4 linked regions of the Saccharomyces cerevisiae S288C genome follow. The gene in region 1 interacts genetically with each later gene. Each region holds a gene or a part of one and is shown on either strand. Other genes may lie near its edges.

Evidence for each region.
Region 2: mutations in PYC2 (region 1) and CDC19 are lethal when combined (synthetic lethality), as found in Saccharomyces cerevisiae (2 studies listed by BioGRID, with this or other methods).
Region 3: mutations in PYC2 (region 1) and HLJ1 together harm fitness more than expected from each alone (negative genetic interaction), as found in Saccharomyces cerevisiae (2 studies listed by BioGRID).
Region 4: mutations in PYC2 (region 1) and GRE3 together harm fitness more than expected from each alone (negative genetic interaction), as found in Saccharomyces cerevisiae (2 studies listed by BioGRID).

Annotation. Positions count from the first base shown.
Region 1 is NC_001134.8:658,207-664,941, reverse strand, and holds PYC2 (pyruvate carboxylase 2), read left to right. Parts: upstream 1-2,692; coding exon 2,693-6,235; downstream 6,236-6,735. Other genes in the region: YBR220C (uncharacterized protein), read left to right, coding at 265-1,947; YBR219C (uncharacterized protein), read left to right, coding at 1,639-1,939, 2,361-2,443; ATG12 (Atg12p), read right to left, coding at 6,550-6,735. UniProt on the Saccharomyces cerevisiae protein: Pyruvate carboxylase catalyzes a 2-step reaction, involving the ATP-dependent carboxylation of the covalently attached biotin in the first step and the transfer of the carboxyl group to pyruvate in the second.
Region 2 is NC_001133.9:69,492-74,282, reverse strand, and holds CDC19 (pyruvate kinase CDC19), read right to left. Parts: upstream 2,498-4,791; coding exon 995-2,497; downstream 1-994. Other genes in the region: YAL037W (uncharacterized protein), read right to left, coding at 1-263; YAL037C-A (uncharacterized protein), read left to right, coding at 765-857; holocytochrome c synthase CYC3, read left to right, coding at 4,758-4,791.
Region 3 is NC_001145.3:574,973-579,198, forward strand, and holds HLJ1 (type I HSP40 co-chaperone HLJ1), read left to right. Parts: upstream 1-2,745; coding exon 2,746-3,420; downstream 3,421-4,226. Other genes in the region: CVM1 (Cvm1p), read left to right, coding at 94-2,544; aminophospholipid-translocating P4-type ATPase DNF3, read right to left, coding at 3,979-4,226.
Region 4 is NC_001140.6:320,878-325,235, forward strand, and holds GRE3 (trifunctional aldehyde reductase/xylose reductase/glucose 1-dehydrogenase (NADP(+))), read left to right. Parts: upstream 1-2,531; coding exon 2,532-3,515; downstream 3,516-4,358. Other genes in the region: SBE22 (Sbe22p), read left to right, coding at 1-2,095; YPT35 (Ypt35p), read left to right, coding at 3,889-4,358. UniProt on the Saccharomyces cerevisiae protein: Aldose reductase with a broad substrate specificity. Reduces the cytotoxic compound methylglyoxal (MG) to acetol and (R)-lactaldehyde under stress conditions.

The sequences.
Region 1 (6,735 bases):
CAAAATTGAATGAGATAAGTACTGTGCACATTGAATGAGTTCCTGTTTCATGGTTAGAATACGCACATATTTATTTTCTTTTTTTTCTTTTCGACGACAGGCTGAATGAAAGAAAGAAAATAAAGATACTCTGGCATGCGAAAATAAGTGAAAAATAAATCGGCTATAATGCGTAAGCTACTGTGGGAAGCAGAAGCAAGACCTAAACGTTTGGTGAGGCAGTATAATATACCATAGTTATAGGGGGATAAAACAAAAGTAGGCATGGAACCTAAGCGAAAGAGCGGGTCACTAGCCAAGCATGATTTGCCGCAATTTTATCTTTTAATTATGTTATATTTGGCTCAAGGCATACCTGTAGGATTGGCCTTCGGTACCGTACCGTTTCTACTGAAATCTTTAGCAAAGGAGACCTCGTTTACATCACTGGGAATTTTCTCTATGGCTACATATCCATATTCTTTAAAGATCATATGGTCACCAATAGTAGACTCACTGTACAACAAGCGCATCGGTAGAAGAAGATCATGGATCATTCCAGTACAATTTGTTAGTGGATTTGTGCTATGGGCATTAGGGTGGTGCATATCACAAGGCATAATCTTCGATGGTGTCGACGATGCGTTCCATAATCGCGGTAATGGCACTTTACACAGTGTCAGTATAAAAAATTTGACGTGGTGGTTTGGCCTGTTAGTTTTTCTGTGTGCCACTCAAGACATCGCAGTTGATGGTTGGGCGTTGACGATTTTGTCCAAAGAATCCCTATCATATGCATCTACCGCGCAAACAATAGGTTTGAATATTGGTTATTTTATGTCATTTACCATTTTCCTGTCGTTGAATTCCTCTGATTTCGCCAATAAGTATTTCAGAAACATCCCACTGGATCACGGGTTCATTAGTCTTGGTGGGTACATGAAATTCTCGGGCATGCTTTACATTGTAATAACCATATATATCATCTTTTGCACCAAGGAAAAACCCTACGTAGAGTATTTGCCCAAAGTGGAGCCCATAAATACAAGTGACGGAGGGTCAAAGCCGATAAGTATTGAGTATGACGACGGTGATGTGGTGTCAACTCAGAATACAAGCAGTATAAAGTACATTTACCGCTGCTTTATAAAAGTGTTGAAATTGAAGTCCGTAAGAAGCCTAGCCTTCATTCACATGATTTCGAAATTTGCCTTTCAATGCAACGAAGCCGCCACAAACCTGAAACTACTAGAGCAAGGCTTCAAAAGAGAAGACTTGGCTGTGACAGTACTCATAGACCTGCCGTTCGAAATCATATTTGGGTACTATGTTGTTAAATGGAGCTCCGACAAGGACCCCATGATTCGTGACAATAGAAGATTAAGAAACAGCACGGGCACCAACAAGGTCATCAAGTTCTTAGTTGGGGATGCCGGCGTTTTAACACCATGGTTGTGGGGCTTTTTGGGCCGTCTGGCAGCCGCGGTCTTGGGAAGTTACGTGGTGAAGCAATTCCCCAAGGATGGTGAAATATCCACGGGTTATTTTTGTCTCGTGATATTCCAGCACCTCTTAGGTTCCTTCATGAATACTGTCCAGTTCATTGGAATATCGGCCTTCCATACAAGAGTTGCAGACCCCGTGCTGGGTGGCACATATATGACATTGTTAAATACCCTCAGCAACTTCGGTGGGACATGGCCGCGGTTAATCATTATGTCCATGATCAACTACTTCACCGTGTATCAGTGCACTATTCCTGGCACAAATAAAGTATACGTAACTCACGGCGGCAGCATGCAAGCGTGCACCGAGCTTTTGAATGGCACCGTGACCATCCTGCGTGACGGCTATTACATCACCAATCTCATATGTATTGTAGTCGGACTTTTCCTATATTTTGGATATTTGAAAAGGAAAATCCTCCATTTACAAAGTCTGCCAATCAGTTCCTGGAGATGTACGTAACGACCCCTCAAACAAGAATTGTACGACATTACGTTCAAGAAAATTTTAACGAGTATCGTAATATTTACAAGATCTTTTTATGTACTACAGGAAGCAGAAACAAAATGAGTATCAATACCAGTGTAAATCTGTTAATGAGAATCATCACATTATCCCAGTTTTTTCCATGCAAGGGAAAAATATACTATACGACATTTCTATACTTTAATTATCAATTAAGGTCATCTTTCTGTACGAAAACTAACCACGATTGTCACTAACGACGTGTCCCTTACCCGACGCAGCTGCTGATAGCGTACCGCACAGGCACAGCCAGCTCTTCTGTGATTGGCAGAGAGGGGTCCTTCCTGCGGAAGACGCCGCAAAGGCACATATGACTAACCTTTTTTTTTTCGCAATTAATTTTCTAATAGTTTTTCATTTTTTTTTTACAATTTTGGCAGTTACGTCTCGAGCTATTTATTATAAGAGTCAGAATTGGCGCAGGGAGTGTTAAGTAAGAAGTACTCCCCATCGGATATTTCCTATTGTGTTTCTGTGATTTTTAGTCCTTTTTTCTTTTCTCTTACTTTCGGTATCCTTACTTGATTACATACATAAACAAGCCCCTCTTTTCTTCCAAACTCTTGTAGCTTACTATCTGTGGCCCGTCATTTGAGTTTGATTTTTTTGCCAATTACTATATTGCAAAATAAAGGACAGTTACTAGGAGAGAAAATAAGGGACATAGAGAACAAAATAAAATATGAGCAGTAGCAAGAAATTGGCCGGTCTTAGGGACAATTTCAGTTTGCTCGGCGAAAAGAATAAGATCTTGGTCGCCAATAGAGGTGAAATTCCGATTAGAATTTTTAGATCTGCTCATGAGCTGTCTATGAGAACCATCGCCATATACTCCCATGAGGACCGTCTTTCAATGCACAGGTTGAAGGCGGACGAAGCGTATGTTATCGGGGAGGAGGGCCAGTATACACCTGTGGGTGCTTACTTGGCAATGGACGAGATCATCGAAATTGCAAAGAAGCATAAGGTGGATTTCATCCATCCAGGTTATGGGTTCTTGTCTGAAAATTCGGAATTTGCCGACAAAGTAGTGAAGGCCGGTATCACTTGGATCGGCCCTCCAGCTGAAGTTATTGACTCTGTGGGTGACAAAGTCTCTGCCAGACACTTGGCAGCAAGAGCTAACGTTCCTACCGTTCCCGGTACTCCAGGACCTATCGAAACTGTGCAAGAGGCACTTGACTTCGTTAATGAATACGGCTACCCGGTGATCATTAAGGCCGCCTTTGGTGGTGGTGGTAGAGGTATGAGAGTCGTTAGAGAAGGTGACGACGTGGCAGATGCCTTTCAACGTGCTACCTCCGAAGCCCGTACTGCCTTCGGTAATGGTACCTGCTTTGTGGAAAGATTCTTGGACAAGCCAAAGCATATTGAAGTTCAATTGTTGGCTGATAACCACGGAAACGTGGTTCATCTTTTCGAAAGAGACTGTTCTGTGCAAAGAAGACACCAAAAAGTTGTCGAAGTCGCTCCAGCAAAGACTTTGCCCCGTGAAGTTCGTGACGCTATTTTGACAGATGCTGTTAAATTAGCTAAGGTATGTGGTTACAGAAACGCAGGTACCGCCGAATTCTTGGTTGACAACCAAAACAGACACTATTTCATTGAAATTAATCCAAGAATTCAAGTGGAGCATACCATCACTGAAGAAATCACCGGTATTGACATTGTTTCTGCCCAAATCCAGATTGCCGCAGGTGCCACTTTGACTCAACTAGGTCTATTACAGGATAAAATCACCACCCGTGGGTTTTCCATCCAATGTCGTATTACCACTGAAGATCCCTCTAAGAATTTCCAACCGGATACCGGTCGCCTGGAGGTCTATCGTTCTGCCGGTGGTAATGGTGTGAGATTGGACGGTGGTAACGCTTATGCAGGTGCTACTATCTCGCCTCACTACGACTCAATGCTGGTCAAATGTTCATGCTCTGGTTCTACTTATGAAATCGTCCGTAGGAAGATGATTCGTGCCCTGATCGAATTCAGAATCAGAGGTGTTAAGACCAACATTCCCTTCCTATTGACTCTTTTGACCAATCCAGTTTTTATTGAGGGTACATACTGGACGACTTTTATTGACGACACCCCACAACTGTTCCAAATGGTATCGTCACAAAACAGAGCGCAAAAACTGTTACACTATTTGGCAGACTTGGCAGTTAACGGTTCTTCTATTAAGGGTCAAATTGGCTTGCCAAAACTAAAATCAAATCCAAGTGTCCCCCATTTGCACGATGCTCAGGGCAATGTCATCAACGTTACAAAGTCTGCACCACCATCCGGATGGAGACAAGTGCTACTGGAAAAGGGACCATCTGAATTTGCCAAGCAAGTCAGACAGTTCAATGGTACTCTACTGATGGACACCACCTGGAGAGACGCTCATCAATCTCTACTTGCAACAAGAGTCAGAACCCACGATTTGGCTACAATCGCTCCAACAACCGCACATGCCCTTGCAGGTGCTTTCGCTTTAGAATGTTGGGGTGGTGCTACATTCGACGTTGCAATGAGATTCTTGCATGAGGATCCATGGGAACGTCTGAGAAAATTAAGATCTCTGGTGCCTAATATTCCATTCCAAATGTTATTACGTGGTGCCAACGGTGTGGCTTACTCTTCATTACCTGACAATGCTATTGACCATTTTGTCAAGCAAGCCAAGGATAATGGTGTTGATATATTTAGAGTTTTTGATGCCTTGAATGATTTAGAACAATTAAAAGTTGGTGTGAATGCTGTCAAGAAGGCCGGTGGTGTTGTCGAAGCTACTGTTTGTTACTCTGGTGACATGCTTCAGCCAGGTAAGAAATACAACTTAGACTACTACCTAGAAGTTGTTGAAAAAATAGTTCAAATGGGTACACATATCTTGGGTATTAAGGATATGGCAGGTACTATGAAACCGGCCGCTGCCAAATTATTAATTGGCTCCCTAAGAACCAGATATCCGGATTTACCAATTCATGTTCACAGTCATGACTCCGCAGGTACTGCTGTTGCGTCTATGACTGCATGTGCCCTAGCAGGTGCTGATGTTGTCGATGTAGCTATCAATTCAATGTCGGGCTTAACTTCCCAACCATCAATTAATGCACTGTTGGCTTCATTAGAAGGTAACATTGATACTGGGATTAACGTTGAGCATGTTCGTGAATTAGATGCATACTGGGCCGAAATGAGACTGTTGTATTCTTGTTTCGAGGCCGACTTGAAGGGACCAGATCCAGAAGTTTACCAACATGAAATCCCAGGTGGTCAATTGACTAACTTGTTATTCCAAGCTCAACAACTGGGTCTTGGTGAACAATGGGCTGAAACTAAAAGAGCTTACAGAGAAGCCAATTACCTACTGGGAGATATTGTTAAAGTTACCCCAACTTCTAAGGTTGTCGGTGATTTAGCTCAATTCATGGTTTCTAACAAACTGACTTCCGACGATATTAGACGTTTAGCTAATTCTTTGGACTTTCCTGACTCTGTTATGGACTTTTTTGAAGGTTTAATTGGTCAACCATACGGTGGGTTCCCAGAACCATTAAGATCTGATGTATTGAGAAACAAGAGAAGAAAGTTGACGTGCCGTCCAGGTTTAGAATTAGAACCATTTGATCTCGAAAAAATTAGAGAAGACTTGCAGAACAGATTCGGTGATATTGATGAATGCGATGTTGCTTCTTACAATATGTATCCAAGGGTCTATGAAGATTTCCAAAAGATCAGAGAAACATACGGTGATTTATCAGTTCTACCAACCAAAAATTTCCTAGCACCAGCAGAACCTGATGAAGAAATCGAAGTCACCATCGAACAAGGTAAGACTTTGATTATCAAATTGCAAGCTGTTGGTGACTTAAATAAGAAAACTGGGCAAAGAGAAGTGTATTTTGAATTGAACGGTGAATTAAGAAAGATCAGAGTTGCAGACAAGTCACAAAACATACAATCTGTTGCTAAACCAAAGGCTGATGTCCACGATACTCACCAAATCGGTGCACCAATGGCTGGTGTTATCATAGAAGTTAAAGTACATAAAGGGTCTTTGGTGAAAAAGGGCGAATCGATTGCTGTTTTGAGTGCCATGAAAATGGAAATGGTTGTCTCTTCACCAGCAGATGGTCAAGTTAAAGACGTTTTCATTAAGGATGGTGAAAGTGTTGACGCATCAGATTTGTTGGTTGTCCTAGAAGAAGAAACCCTACCCCCATCCCAAAAAAAGTAATTTTTACTCGTTAATTATATTTTATGACATCTGAAAATACTAGCTGTACTATATATGGCGTATATTTTATCTAGTTATGTTCCCATGTATATTTAAATGCCAAATAGAAAGTAATCAAACACTTTCGATGAAATACGTGCTAACTGTGTTTCTTCCTTAATGCTTTCACTTACCATGTCTCCATTCTCCATTTTCTTCTTGAGTGAAAATGTGAGTTTATAACGCTCAAGTACGTTAACTACTCTATTTAATATCGTACGGGATTTTTGATCGACTGTAGGTTTTCTTCTTAGACCATTCCAGCGCCCGGGTATTTAACCAAACGCTACGGATGCACAATAACTTACAATAAGCTCATCATTAGTCTTGAATTGCATCCAAAGTTCACCAATATTTTGCTGCGGACTTGGCGCAAACGAATTATTTATATAACAATAAACATGGTCCATTTTCAGCCGTCTCTTAAGAAATAAAATAACCATTGCAAAAGACTGTGACAT
Region 2 (4,791 bases), on another chromosome or scaffold:
ATTGCGGCCTTCTTTGTTGCTACTGCTGCTGTAGTTGGTGAGCAAAGATTCACGACTACCGAATTAGAGTTCCTGAAATACTGGGTATAAAACGACGCTATCTTTTCAGTACTTAGATTGACACCAATGATGAACTTAATATTTTCATATTGCAAAAGAATAGGTTGTGTCAATATCTCACAGGGTCCAAAATAAACATTGGTATCCAGTTTTTGTAACTTCAGGTCATCTATGGGGCTTGAATCTTCGATTTCCATATCCATAGCAGTGTTATTTCCTTTGCTTTTTGCGTAATTATTGGCACTATGTCACTGATTATATAAGCCACTTCAGTTTTCTTCCCATCTAATTAATTTTTCTTCGAAACACATTCTGTAAATAAGGGATTATGTTATGAAAAGAATACGTACTAGATGGCTAGAAGAATAGGACGGAGTAGCACTTATCGTTTCTGATAAGAGGATCAATCCTTTGAAATCTTGAAACGCGAATAAATTTAGGACACTAATTGAATCTGCCCGCGTCATTTTTTATAAAAAATAGATTAAACCACCAAACGAAGGCCAGAAGCTGAACATAGTTCACTGGCATCTGCATTTATGTACCCATGTATAACCTTCCAAGTTAGTTCTTGGGAAACGAAAATTATATTGAATTTTTTATTGAATTTTTAGCGTATCCTTTCGCCATCCTGATAATCATGATAACCTTGAGGGAAGATTATCTTGCGATGGGAGGGATCAAATTTAGCAAATTTTGACTCTATGTCAATCTCGTTTCCAAAAATGCAACACCTCATCGTTATGACGACAATTGGAGACAAAAAGGTTAACAATAACATAATACTCTTTTTATAGAATACCTTATAAAATGTATGTTATTTAAGTAACTTATAAATCTTTATTTGAGTTGAAAAGAAAAACCATGTCTTTATATAAAATTTAAAAAATATAATTCAAAAAAATAATATCTTCATTCAATCATGATTCTTTTTTTAAACGGTAGAGACTTGCAAAGTGTTGGAGTGACCAGCACCGGCCTTGAAACCTTGGATGGAAACGTAAGTGTCACCCTTCTTCAAGATACCGAATTCCTTAGCCTTTTCAATACCGAAGTTGATACGGGCTTCAACATCATCAGTCCAGTCAGAGACAGGTTCCTTTTCGAAAACGAATGGGAAGACACCTCTGTACAAGTGAGAGAATCTAGCAGCTCTTGGGCATCTGGTAACCAAGATGATTGGACAGTTTGGTCTGTACTTGGAAACCAATCTTGGGGTGGTACCGGAAGTGGACAAGACAATGATAGCCTTGGCCTTTTGTTCGAAAACAGCAGCGACAGCGGAGGCAGCGACGGTTTCGGTGGTGGAGGTTGGCTTTGGAGTACAGTTTCTCATGTCATCGTAGTTTGGCAAGTAAGCGATAGCTTGTTCAGCAATGACAGCGGTTTCAGCCATAGTGGTAACGGCGTTGATTGGGTAGTTACCCTTGGCGGTTTCACCAGACAACATAACACAGTCAGCACCATCCAAGATAGCGTTACCGACATCGGAAACTTCAGCTCTGGTTGGTCTTGGGTTGTAAGTCATGGATTCCAACATTTGGGTAGCACAGATAACTGGCTTACCAGCCAAGTTAGACTTAGCAATCAATTTCTTTTGGACAGCCAAGACTTCTGGGGCTGGGATTTCAATACCCAAGTCACCTCTGGCAACCATAACACCGTCAGTGACCTTCAAGATTTCGTCGAAGTTGTTAACACCTTGTTGGTTTTCAATCTTGACAATGATCTTGACGTCCTTACCTTGTTCACCCAAGACTTCTCTGATGGTCAAAACATCGTTGGCGGTTCTGATGAAAGAAGCGAAGACCATGTGGACACCGTTCTTGACACCGAATCTCAAATCTTCCTTGTCCTTTTCAGACAAAGCTGGCAAATCGACATCGGTACCTGGTAAGTTGACACCCTTGTGGGAACAGATCTTACCGGCGTTCAAAGCCTTGACCTTCAAAGTCTTGTCGTCAACGACTTCCAAAACTTGGAAAGACAAAACACCATCATCAACGTAGATGATTCTACCAGCGGAGATGACCTTGGTGATGTTCTTGTAGTCAACGTACATGATCTTGTCGTCACAAGCCTTAGCGTACTTGTCATCGGTGGTGAAGATCATTTCGTGGTTTGGTGGGATTGGGTAGTCAACATCGTTGGTGGTGGTACCAGTTCTGATTTCTGGACCCTTGGTGTCCAAAGCAATGGCCAATGGTCTACCTGGGTACAATTCTTCGGACTTTCTGGCGTTGTCAATGACAGACTTGTGGTATTCGTAAGAACCGTGAGAGAAGTTCATACGGACAATGTTCAAACCAGCCTTTCTCAAAGCAACCAAGGTTTCTGGGTTGTTGGTCTTTGGACCGATGGTACCAATGATGGAGGTTCTTCTCAAGTCAGAACCAGCAACAACGTTTAATGAGGTCAATCTTTCTAATCTAGACATTGTGATGATGTTTTATTTGTTTTGATTGGTGTCTTGTAAATAGAAACAAGAGAGAATAATAAACAAGTTAAGAATAAAAAACCAAAGGATGAAAAAGAATGAATATGAAAAAGAGTAGAGAATAACTTTGAAAGGGGACCATGATATAACTGGAAAAAAGAGGTTCTTGGAAATGAAAAGTTACCAAAGAGTATTTATAATTCAGAAAAAAAAGCCAACGAATATCGTTTTGATGGCGAGCCTTTTTTTTTTTTTAGGAAGACACTAAAGGTACCTAGCATCATATGGGAAGGAAAGGAAATCACTTGGAAGACATCACAAGCATTCATTTACCAAGAGAAAAAATATGCATTTTAGCTAAGATCCATTGAACAAAGCACTCACTCAACTCAACTGAATGAACGAAAGAAGAAAGAACAGTAGAAAACACTTTGTGACGGTGCGGAACACATTTACGTAGCTATCATGCTGAATTCTACTATGAAAATCTCCCAATCTGTCGATGGCAAAACGACCCACGTGGCAGAGTTGGGTCAAGTGCCAGTTTCTGGATTAAGTAACAGATACAGACATCACACGCCATAGAGGAATCCCGCCGTTGCGAGAGATGGAAAACAATAGAGCCGAAATTGTGGAAGCCCGATGTCTGGGTGTACATTTTTTTTTTTTCTTTCTTTCTCTTTCAATAATCTTTCCTTTTTCCATTTAGCTTGCCGGAAAAACTTTCGGGTAGCGAAAATCTTTCTGCCGGAAAAATTAGCTATTTTTTTCTTCCTTATTATTTTTTTAGTTCTGAAGTTTGACCAGGGCGCTACCCTGACCGTATCACAACCGACGATCCGGGGTCATGGCGGCTATTTTTTTTTTTTTTTTTTTTTTCCTTGTGATTGTTTATTTACATTTGGATCAATTCTAACAAAAAAAAAATAAGGGGGGAAAAATAATTCACCTCTTTTTAATATTGTTTTGTACTGAGATTAATCTCCAAAATACTAGCATTGACACACATCTCAAGTCATCTCAAATAAAGTCGGAAAACCCCCCCTTTCCAAATAATTGAGGTGACGTTGCCATGAACAGGGAAGCAGAATTTGATTCGAAGACTAAGACCAAGCATACCCATTCTCATTTGGTCCTTTCTTTATTTTTACTTCAACTCCCTTAACGTTCGGAGAAAAACTCTGGTTATTCTTCATGCGATATAATTGGCGAAAAAAATCTTGTCTCATACGTAAAAAGTATTAAAAAAATTGCCCATTTTGTGCCCGCAGACAACTGCAACCTATCTTCAAAAGCCGAAAAGGAGGTTTTCTTCTTATTCGCTGGACAGACCCTCTTTTTTGCTGTTGCTTTATTTTTTATGTTTAGAAACAAAATTTCCCCGAGAGAAAGGGAAAATATGTGGAAAAAGAAAAAGCACTTCCTTACCAAACGTCATTCCATCCATGAAATACTTGGCCGATTGAACTTTTCATTTGGTCCAAATATGGAAGTGATAAACGATCTTACTCCAACGTAGATAAAACATTGATAGTAGCCCTAACTGATATTATGGCAAGTCGGCCACACCGCTCATTAGGACAATTCCTTTTTTTCCTTTTTTTTTCTTCTCACTTTTCGGCTATCGGAGCCTTTGATTTAATCGCCGGTGCCTACGTCTTTGGTGTGTATCATATCGGTCTTGAGTCCCATACTACATGCTCTGCTAATAATAGTCATGCAAGTAATAAAGGTAATTTATGGTGAGGGAGGCTTAGGAATATCTAATACTAAGTGCCTAAAACATCAGCAGCAATACAACAATACAACAATGCAACAGGTTCAAAGGAAATAATCAGCAACGCTTTCAAGGGAGCAAGTTGTGGTTTACAACACCTACAATTCTTTCAAGACGTTTGCAACACTGCGACAAAAGTGTGACCGAATTACAAATTTAGAAGGCAAAAAAAAAAAAAAAGAAAAAAAAGTTGTACGTATGGTAGCGCCGCATATACTATGTAGTAGTAATATTGAAATATCTCTTGCGCGGCGTGGGATCTTCCGCCCCCCCCACCCAAATTTTCTATTTTTTCTTTTTCTTTTCGCTTACCTCTTTTTATCGACTTTTTCCCTTTTTTCTTTTCATCGGGAAATGATTATCAAAAAATTTCTCAGCTTTAAATGCGAATACTAAGAGAAATGAAATAGGCAGCTAATAAGATAGCATACACATACGAGTAGCACGAATAAAGCAGAGCAAATACAACAGAAACTACAAAAAATGGGTTGGTTTTGGGCAGATCAAAAAACTACGG
Region 3 (4,226 bases), on another chromosome or scaffold:
AATCAACGTTAAATAAAGGTCAACTACAAACAGAATAAGTAAAAGCGAGCAAGTGTAGTAGCAATTTAGCACAACATATAAAACGCTATTATAATGGATGTTGTGCAGCAGAAACAGGATAAACAGTTGCAGCATCAAACACAAGAGCAGCAGCAGATACGAGAGGACCAGCAGGAAGTCCCACCCCAACGTCCACGACAACAAAACAGATGGAAACCCTGGTGGAATTCCACTGCCGACGATGAGCCAAACACGGGAAGAATTGCAGAATATCCTAATGGACAAGGAAGGAGTAGTCCGACAACGGATTTTCAAGATAGCGTGAACTCGAATAATGACAATAAAGGGATATGGTCTAAAATCGCTTCTTTTGCAACATCCAGATATAGAAGTGCCCCAATTGTTGTTGATGATAATACCCGCTACTCTCAACTAAACACTGAACAAATCAACTTCTTGGAAAATGAGGCTAAGGATATAATTTCAAAAAAGTCGAAATCATGGTGTTGGTACGAAGCAATTCCACATATATCAAATTCATCAAACATAATTGATTCCATAGATACCCCAGGAATAATCAGTGTCTCTGGTACAGGATCAGCCAAATGCCCATTGCCATTAAACAAATATCCTGGGGAGGGAGGTAACCCTGGGTATAATGTATTTATTAATGATTCTTTAATCCTACCATCAGATAACCCTTTGAATTTTCTGCACGTCCAACCACTAAGAACTAAGGTATTGAATACTATCAAAAATTACTATAACTTCCCTAATGAGCAACATCTCTATTTAAGACAAAAAAAAACCGCATTACTGAAGGATAAGAGAATTATTATAATATCCGTCGTGGGGGATTTACCAGAAAAGTATGAGCAGCGCTCATTAGAATCACAAAGATCGGCTTATTATCTTTCTAGAAAATTGTCACAAAATCTAGCGCAAGAACAACCTCAAAGAGTCTTGACCCTATCGTTCCAGTGCCCACTGCATAATCAAGATTTAATACCTACATATAAAGAATGTGTAGAGTTACTGAACCACTGGGCTCATCTTTTCAAAGAGGTAGATTCAATTTTTTTTGTGGGCGTTTATCACAGCGTTCCCTTAACTTTGCTATTAGCGAAATATATCGTGCAAAATAATGAAGTTCTAGAGTTTGATGAAAACACTACAGTGAGTGTATTGAGTTTCCAGTCATGTTTACAAGGCTATCGATTTTGGGACCACAGCACTGACTTTACTAGCAATAGTTATAATAACTTGGGTTCCAATTCCAGTACTAACGAAAATGATAGTAATGATCATGATTCAAATAATGATTTCACAACGAAGAGCCAACAAATCAAAGAAAAACAGTTATTTCAGGGCATTGACAAAAAGCAACAAGACACATTATCTAAAATCAAAAATTATAGGCGGATAGATTCTAGTGAATCTAAACTAGTTCAGGATGCATTGGATTGGCTCTTGTTCAATTGGGATACGTTTCGACTGACATTTTTTGGTAAGCTTTATGATAATTTTATGACAATTTCAGAAAAACTTGCTATAGATTATAATCACCCTAAAATCTTGAGAAATTTATGGTGCAATGGGAAGTACATGGGCATTGATTTAAAGAATGCTAATAATTTAAACCTTGATACCGATGATGAAGCAACTAGTAACATTAATGACGTCCATGTAAGGACCCCTAATTTTGAATCGAGATTGAAGATTCCCACCAACAGACTTTTCGAAATAACCTTATGGGATATTTTGATGATAACGGAGAATTTAGGATATAAACAATTTATTCCCATAATTAATTTACTAAGTCCTTTTTTTATTTCAAGGTCATTTAATGATTACACATTGCCTCCAAATATTAGGAAACAGTACCAGAACAGCAACAAAATCTGGCTTCAAGAAATGGACAGTAAGTGGAAAATGAATGGTCATCAACTCAATTACGACCAAAGGGAGGGTGAAAGTCTCGGTTCATCATCGGAATCATTATTGCCAGAGAATATTTCTACGGTAAAGGATTTTTTGCAGTTTGTGCAGTATCAAAACGAAAAATCTTCGGATTTCGTAAGGATATATTCAGACATTTATGATGACGATAAAGTCTATAAATGCTTTCTGTACAATACAATATTCACGAAAAACCCATTAAGTCGTAAGCATTTACGTTTAAACATCGACCTCGACACTCCTACAAGCATATTGAATACTGTCAATCAATATGATTTGGTATGGAAAATTCATGATTCCTTCTCCAAATTGATTCAATTGAAAAATTTACCGCAGCGAGAGATACCACATGCGTTGAGGCTCTCCATCTCATTAAACTGCTTCTTGGATAGTACCACGAGTACTTCTGGCCCTGTTTTTCAGAGGGACACCGTGGAAGCTTTGAGAAGATTAACAGAGATTTGGCGAACTTACCAGGATTGGTCTCCACCAACAAGGGGTTTGAAACACCTACGTGATATCCTGAGCGTTTTAGCCATGTATGACAACCCCAAAAACTTGATTAATGATGTTCGACGTACATAGTAGATTCGTATATAGCGGACCGCGTAACATATTATGGTATTTGTATAGTGGGTAACCCGCAGAGTAGGCTGGAAAGTATTCGTGAAGAACATAAAGGAAGCTGGCAGAAGTTCTTTTCATACACCTCTACTTCCAGAAGCCATAATAGCAGCAACGCTGTTTCTGCAATATAACTTGTGGAAGGTCTATAATAGGAAGAACATGTCTTTCACTGAGGATCAAGAAAAAATCGCGCTAGAAATACTGTCAAAAGACAAGCATGAGTTTTACGAAATTTTGAAGGTAGATAGGAAAGCCACAGATAGTGAGATCAAGAAGGCATACAGAAAACTAGCAATCAAATTGCATCCTGATAAAAACTCTCATCCAAAAGCGGGAGAAGCTTTCAAAGTAATTAATAGGGCATTTGAAGTACTAAGCAATGAGGAAAAGCGCAGTATTTATGACAGGATAGGTAGGGATCCTGACGATAGACAAATGCCATCCAGAGGTGCTGCTTCAGGGTTCCGAGGAAGTGCAGGTGGGTCTCCAATGGGTGGCGGATTTGAAGACATGTTTTTCAATTCACGTTTCGGTGGTCAAAGAGCTGGACCACCAGAGGACATATTCGACTTTTTGTTCAACGCAGGCGGCAGCCCATTCGGCGCTTCACCATTTGGGCCTTCTGCTTCCACTTTTTCATTTGGAGGCCCCGGTGGTTTCAGAGTTTATACTAATAATCGTGGTGGCTCACCGTTCATGCGTCAACAACCCCGCTCAAGACAGCAGCAACAACAAGCAGAAGAAAATGCAGTGAATTCGCAATTAAAAAATATGCTCGTTCTTTTCATCATCTTTATTGTTCTTCCTATGATTAAAGATTACCTGTTTAGTTAAACACAATATTTTTACTGTCATTTTTTTATTATTTTCCAACGTTAGTCAAAGTTGTACTATAAAATAAAACTACAAGGAGCAAGCAAAATTGAAAAAACGCATTTGTATACTAGATGACATTTAGGTCATTCCTTCAGGCTTCCTGGCTATGTTTTATTTTGTTCCACAGTTTACCAGAAGGACATAATGGTATTAGAATTTTAATATATCGAGGAAATTAAATCAGACAGTATAATACTTATAAACATCTTTATTTTCTGATAACTAATCATAGCATTTACGCCATACATTTACTTTTTCTTTTGACACCGAAAGTAATCAAGCCACTTTTATAATTAGAGTTAGTTTATAGATAGTATTTAAAATTTGTGAAGATTTCCCATGCGTTGTGCCTTGCTTTCTCTCAAAATACATCTTGTTAATTTTCTAATGTGTGGATGCCGAAATAATATTCGACTCAACAAATCAAGTAAGTCTTCTAAGCTCGCTACTAATTTCCAATAAAAGGTATATATATAAAAATGTTCTCAATAATGTAATTAAACAAGATCACGAGAATTACTCCAGATCCTTTAGCCTTGCCTGAATAATCTGGTTCACATCTTCATCTTCCACATTCCTCGATGGAAGCTTCAGTTTCTTCGTCAGTTTAGTAGTTATATTGCCGCCAATACTGTCTTTACTGCTTTGTGTTTTCAAGGATGGTCGCTTGATTAACTTGCCACTAGGTAATACCTCGTATCGTTCAGAGCTCTTTTTAGAAGAGTTTCCAAAGAAATTTTTTTTTGAGGAATGGTCTACATTCC
Region 4 (4,358 bases), on another chromosome or scaffold:
TACTTTTCCCAGCATATTGATGGAAAAGGCTACTCAAGGTAGAGGCGCTGATGGAAATGGAATGAGAAGCGCAAGCAATAATACCATTGTGGAAGCAACTACGGACGGTTCCAAAATGGCACTGCAAAAAAGCATGTCGTTTGATGATACAGCCGCAGAGAAAACTATGAATAAATCTAGACATTCTTACCAAGAACAGTTCTCCTCGAAGAAAAGCCAGTCATCTTTACTGAACAGCAAGCAAAGATCACGTGCTAAATCGCAAACATGCTCGTCTACGGGTTATAACAACAGCAGCATTCTGAAAACGTTTGGCATAAGCTCCAAAATTTCTAATTCAAGTGATCGGATAGAGGCTTCGTCATTAGAATTTAACGTTCCATCTCAGAAACCTTTGAATTGCAAGCCATTAACTCCGTCTCAGAAATACAGACTTCGTAAAGAGCAATCGGAGATGAATTTAAGAAATACAATCAAAAGAAAAGAGAAATTTTATGATAGTCAAGAACAAATTCTTGAGTTACAAGAGGGAGACGTTGATGATTCGTTGATTTGGAACGTTCCTATGGCATCATTATCTACTAATTCATTTCTAGCGTCTGCTAAGCCCGATGATATGAATAACTTGGCTGGCAAGAATGACTTATCAGAATATACCGGAGGTTTGGTAAATGATAACTCTGAAATTTCTTATACAAAACAAAATCATAGGTACTCGAACATCTCTTTTGCGAGTACAACATCAAACGCCTCATTATTGGACTTTAATGAGATGCCTACGTCTCCGATTCCAGGTTTGAACAAAGTAACTGATTTTCAGTTCATTCAAGACACAACCAAGAGTCTAGCCTCTGTTTATTTGCATTCTTCCAATAGGCTTTCAAGATCTAAGCTGTCCGAAAGAACAAAGTCTTCCGATTTCTTGCCAATTGAACTAAAAGAAGCTCAAAATCAAGGCATGGAAGATTTGATACTTGTCTCGGAGAACAAACTAGATGTGGTCAGCCATTCAAGACCGAGTTGGTTACCACCCAAGGATCGCCAGGAAAAAAAGCTTCATGAAAGGCAAATTAACAAAAGCATGAGTGTTGCTTCCCTTGACCAACTAGGAAAAAATAAAGACAGAGAAGAAAAGTTGATTAGAGATGAAACAAATAGGCAAAAATATGTGTTATTATTGGACAGAGATATAACTAGAAACTCCTCCTTACAAAGCCTAAGTAAAATGGTTTGGGACACTCCATTTAGTGACGAAACTAGGTCAACAATTTACAGCGAAATTTTACAGAGCAAGACTAGGTTTATTACCAAAAACTATATTCAACCATTTCATGAGCTACAGGAGCTTTTAACAAAAATGGGAGACTTTCCTAAAAACAAGGAAATTGAAATATCGCAGCTAATCGAAACAAGTTTGAGGCGAAAAGTGAGCGGTTTACATGATATATGTCCTGATTTGATGCTTTTATTGAAGATAAAATCTATCTCATCACAGGGTATAGTCACCGGTGATGAACTCCTTTTCCATCATTTCTTGGTGAGTGAATCATTTCAGAACCTGGGGCTAAACGAGATTTGGAATATTGTTAATTTAGTACAAATGACGTGTTTTAATGATCTTTGTAAAGAAAAGTTCGATGCAAAGGTTTTAGAACGTAAGGGTGTCGTAGCCGGTTATTTATCGCAAAACGAGGAGTTCAAGGATGAATTTAATACGGAGTGTATAAACTCTACCACCTGGTGGAACATCCTAGAACGTATTGATCATAAGCTTTTTATGTGGATCATGGATATTATAGTAGTCAACAATTCCCAGAGCTACAAAAATAGCCCAATCAACGAAGATGAGTTTGTTAACAAGGATTGGGAATATTACCGCTCGAAGAAAGTGGTAATAAACTACAAGATCTTGATTTCATTTGCATTAAATGTATTGTTAAATTACCACTTTGGATTCACTGATTTAAGAAGTCTTTGTAACGTGAATGACCAGAGATTTTGCATTCCAGTATTCATCAATGATGAATTCGTAGACGCAGATACTGTAAATGCCGTGTTCATCAAGAAATGGGCGCATTACTACAAGAAGTTTTGATATTTTTTGTAACTGTAATTTCACTCATGCACAAGAAAAAAAAAACTGGATTAAAAGGGAGCCCAAGGAAAACTCCTCAGCATATATTTAGAAGTCTCCTCAGCATATAGTTGTTTGTTTTCTTTACACATTCACTGTTTAATAAAACTTTTATAATATTTCATTATCGGAACTCTAGATTCTATACTTGTTTCCCAATTGTTGCTGGTAGTAAACGTATACGTCATAAAAGGGAAAAGCCACATGCGGAAGAATTTTATGGAAAAAAAAAAAACCTCGAAGTTACTACTTCTAGGGGGCCTATCAAGTAAATTACTCCTGGTACACTGAAGTATATAAGGGATATAGAAGCAAATAGTTGTCAGTGCAATCCTTCAAGACGATTGGGAAAATACTGTAATATAAATCGTAAAGGAAAATTGGAAATTTTTTAAAGATGTCTTCACTGGTTACTCTTAATAACGGTCTGAAAATGCCCCTAGTCGGCTTAGGGTGCTGGAAAATTGACAAAAAAGTCTGTGCGAATCAAATTTATGAAGCTATCAAATTAGGCTACCGTTTATTCGATGGTGCTTGCGACTACGGCAACGAAAAGGAAGTTGGTGAAGGTATCAGGAAAGCCATCTCCGAAGGTCTTGTTTCTAGAAAGGATATATTTGTTGTTTCAAAGTTATGGAACAATTTTCACCATCCTGATCATGTAAAATTAGCTTTAAAGAAGACCTTAAGCGATATGGGACTTGATTATTTAGACCTGTATTATATTCACTTCCCAATCGCCTTCAAATATGTTCCATTTGAAGAGAAATACCCTCCAGGATTCTATACGGGCGCAGATGACGAGAAGAAAGGTCACATCACCGAAGCACATGTACCAATCATAGATACGTACCGGGCTCTGGAAGAATGTGTTGATGAAGGCTTGATTAAGTCTATTGGTGTTTCCAACTTTCAGGGAAGCTTGATTCAAGATTTATTACGTGGTTGTAGAATCAAGCCCGTGGCTTTGCAAATTGAACACCATCCTTATTTGACTCAAGAACACCTAGTTGAGTTTTGTAAATTACACGATATCCAAGTAGTTGCTTACTCCTCCTTCGGTCCTCAATCATTCATTGAGATGGACTTACAGTTGGCAAAAACCACGCCAACTCTGTTCGAGAATGATGTAATCAAGAAGGTCTCACAAAACCATCCAGGCAGTACCACTTCCCAAGTATTGCTTAGATGGGCAACTCAGAGAGGCATTGCCGTCATTCCAAAATCTTCCAAGAAGGAAAGGTTACTTGGCAACCTAGAAATCGAAAAAAAGTTCACTTTAACGGAGCAAGAATTGAAGGATATTTCTGCACTAAATGCCAACATCAGATTTAATGATCCATGGACCTGGTTGGATGGTAAATTCCCCACTTTTGCCTGATCCAGCCAGTAAAATCCATACTCAACGACGATATGAACAAATTTCCCTCATTCCGATGCTGTATATGTGTATAAATTTTTACATGCTCTTCTGTTTAGACACAGAACAGCTTTAAATAAAATGTTGGATATACTTTTTCTGCCTGTGGTGTCATCCACGCTTTTAATTCATCTCTTGTATGGTTGACAATTTGGCTATTTTTTAACAGAACCCAACGGTAATTGAAATTAAAAGGGAAACGAGTGGGGGCGATGAGTGAGTGATACTAAAATAGACACCAAGAGAGCAAAGCGGTCCCAAAATCATTTGAGTAACCGGATATCTATCGGGATATTAATAGCAGCTTCCATTTCAACTAAAACAACAGCAAGATATGAGCGACAAGATATCCTTTCTACCTCCCGAACCCATCCAACTACTTGACGAAGACTCCACGGAGCCTGAACTCGACATTGACTCACAACAAGAAAATGAGGGACCCATCAGTGCGTCAAACAGCAATGATAGCACTAGCCATAGTAATGATTGCGGTGCCACAATTACCAGAACAAGACCTAGACGAAGCAGTTCTATCAATGCAAACTTTAGTTTTCAAAAGGCTCATGTCAGCGATTGCACCATAGTCAATGGCGACCATGGAACAAAGTTTGCTGTCTGGAGAATTACCGTATTTCTTGAACCCAACTTGAAGGCTTTTGCGGCCAAGAGGGAAAGCTATAAAATCCAAACCTATAAACGATACTCCGATTTCGTCAGATTACGAGAGAATTTGCTCACAAGAATCAAGACAGCGAAACCTGAGAAACTTAACTGTTTGCAGATTCCACACCTTCCCCCTTCAGT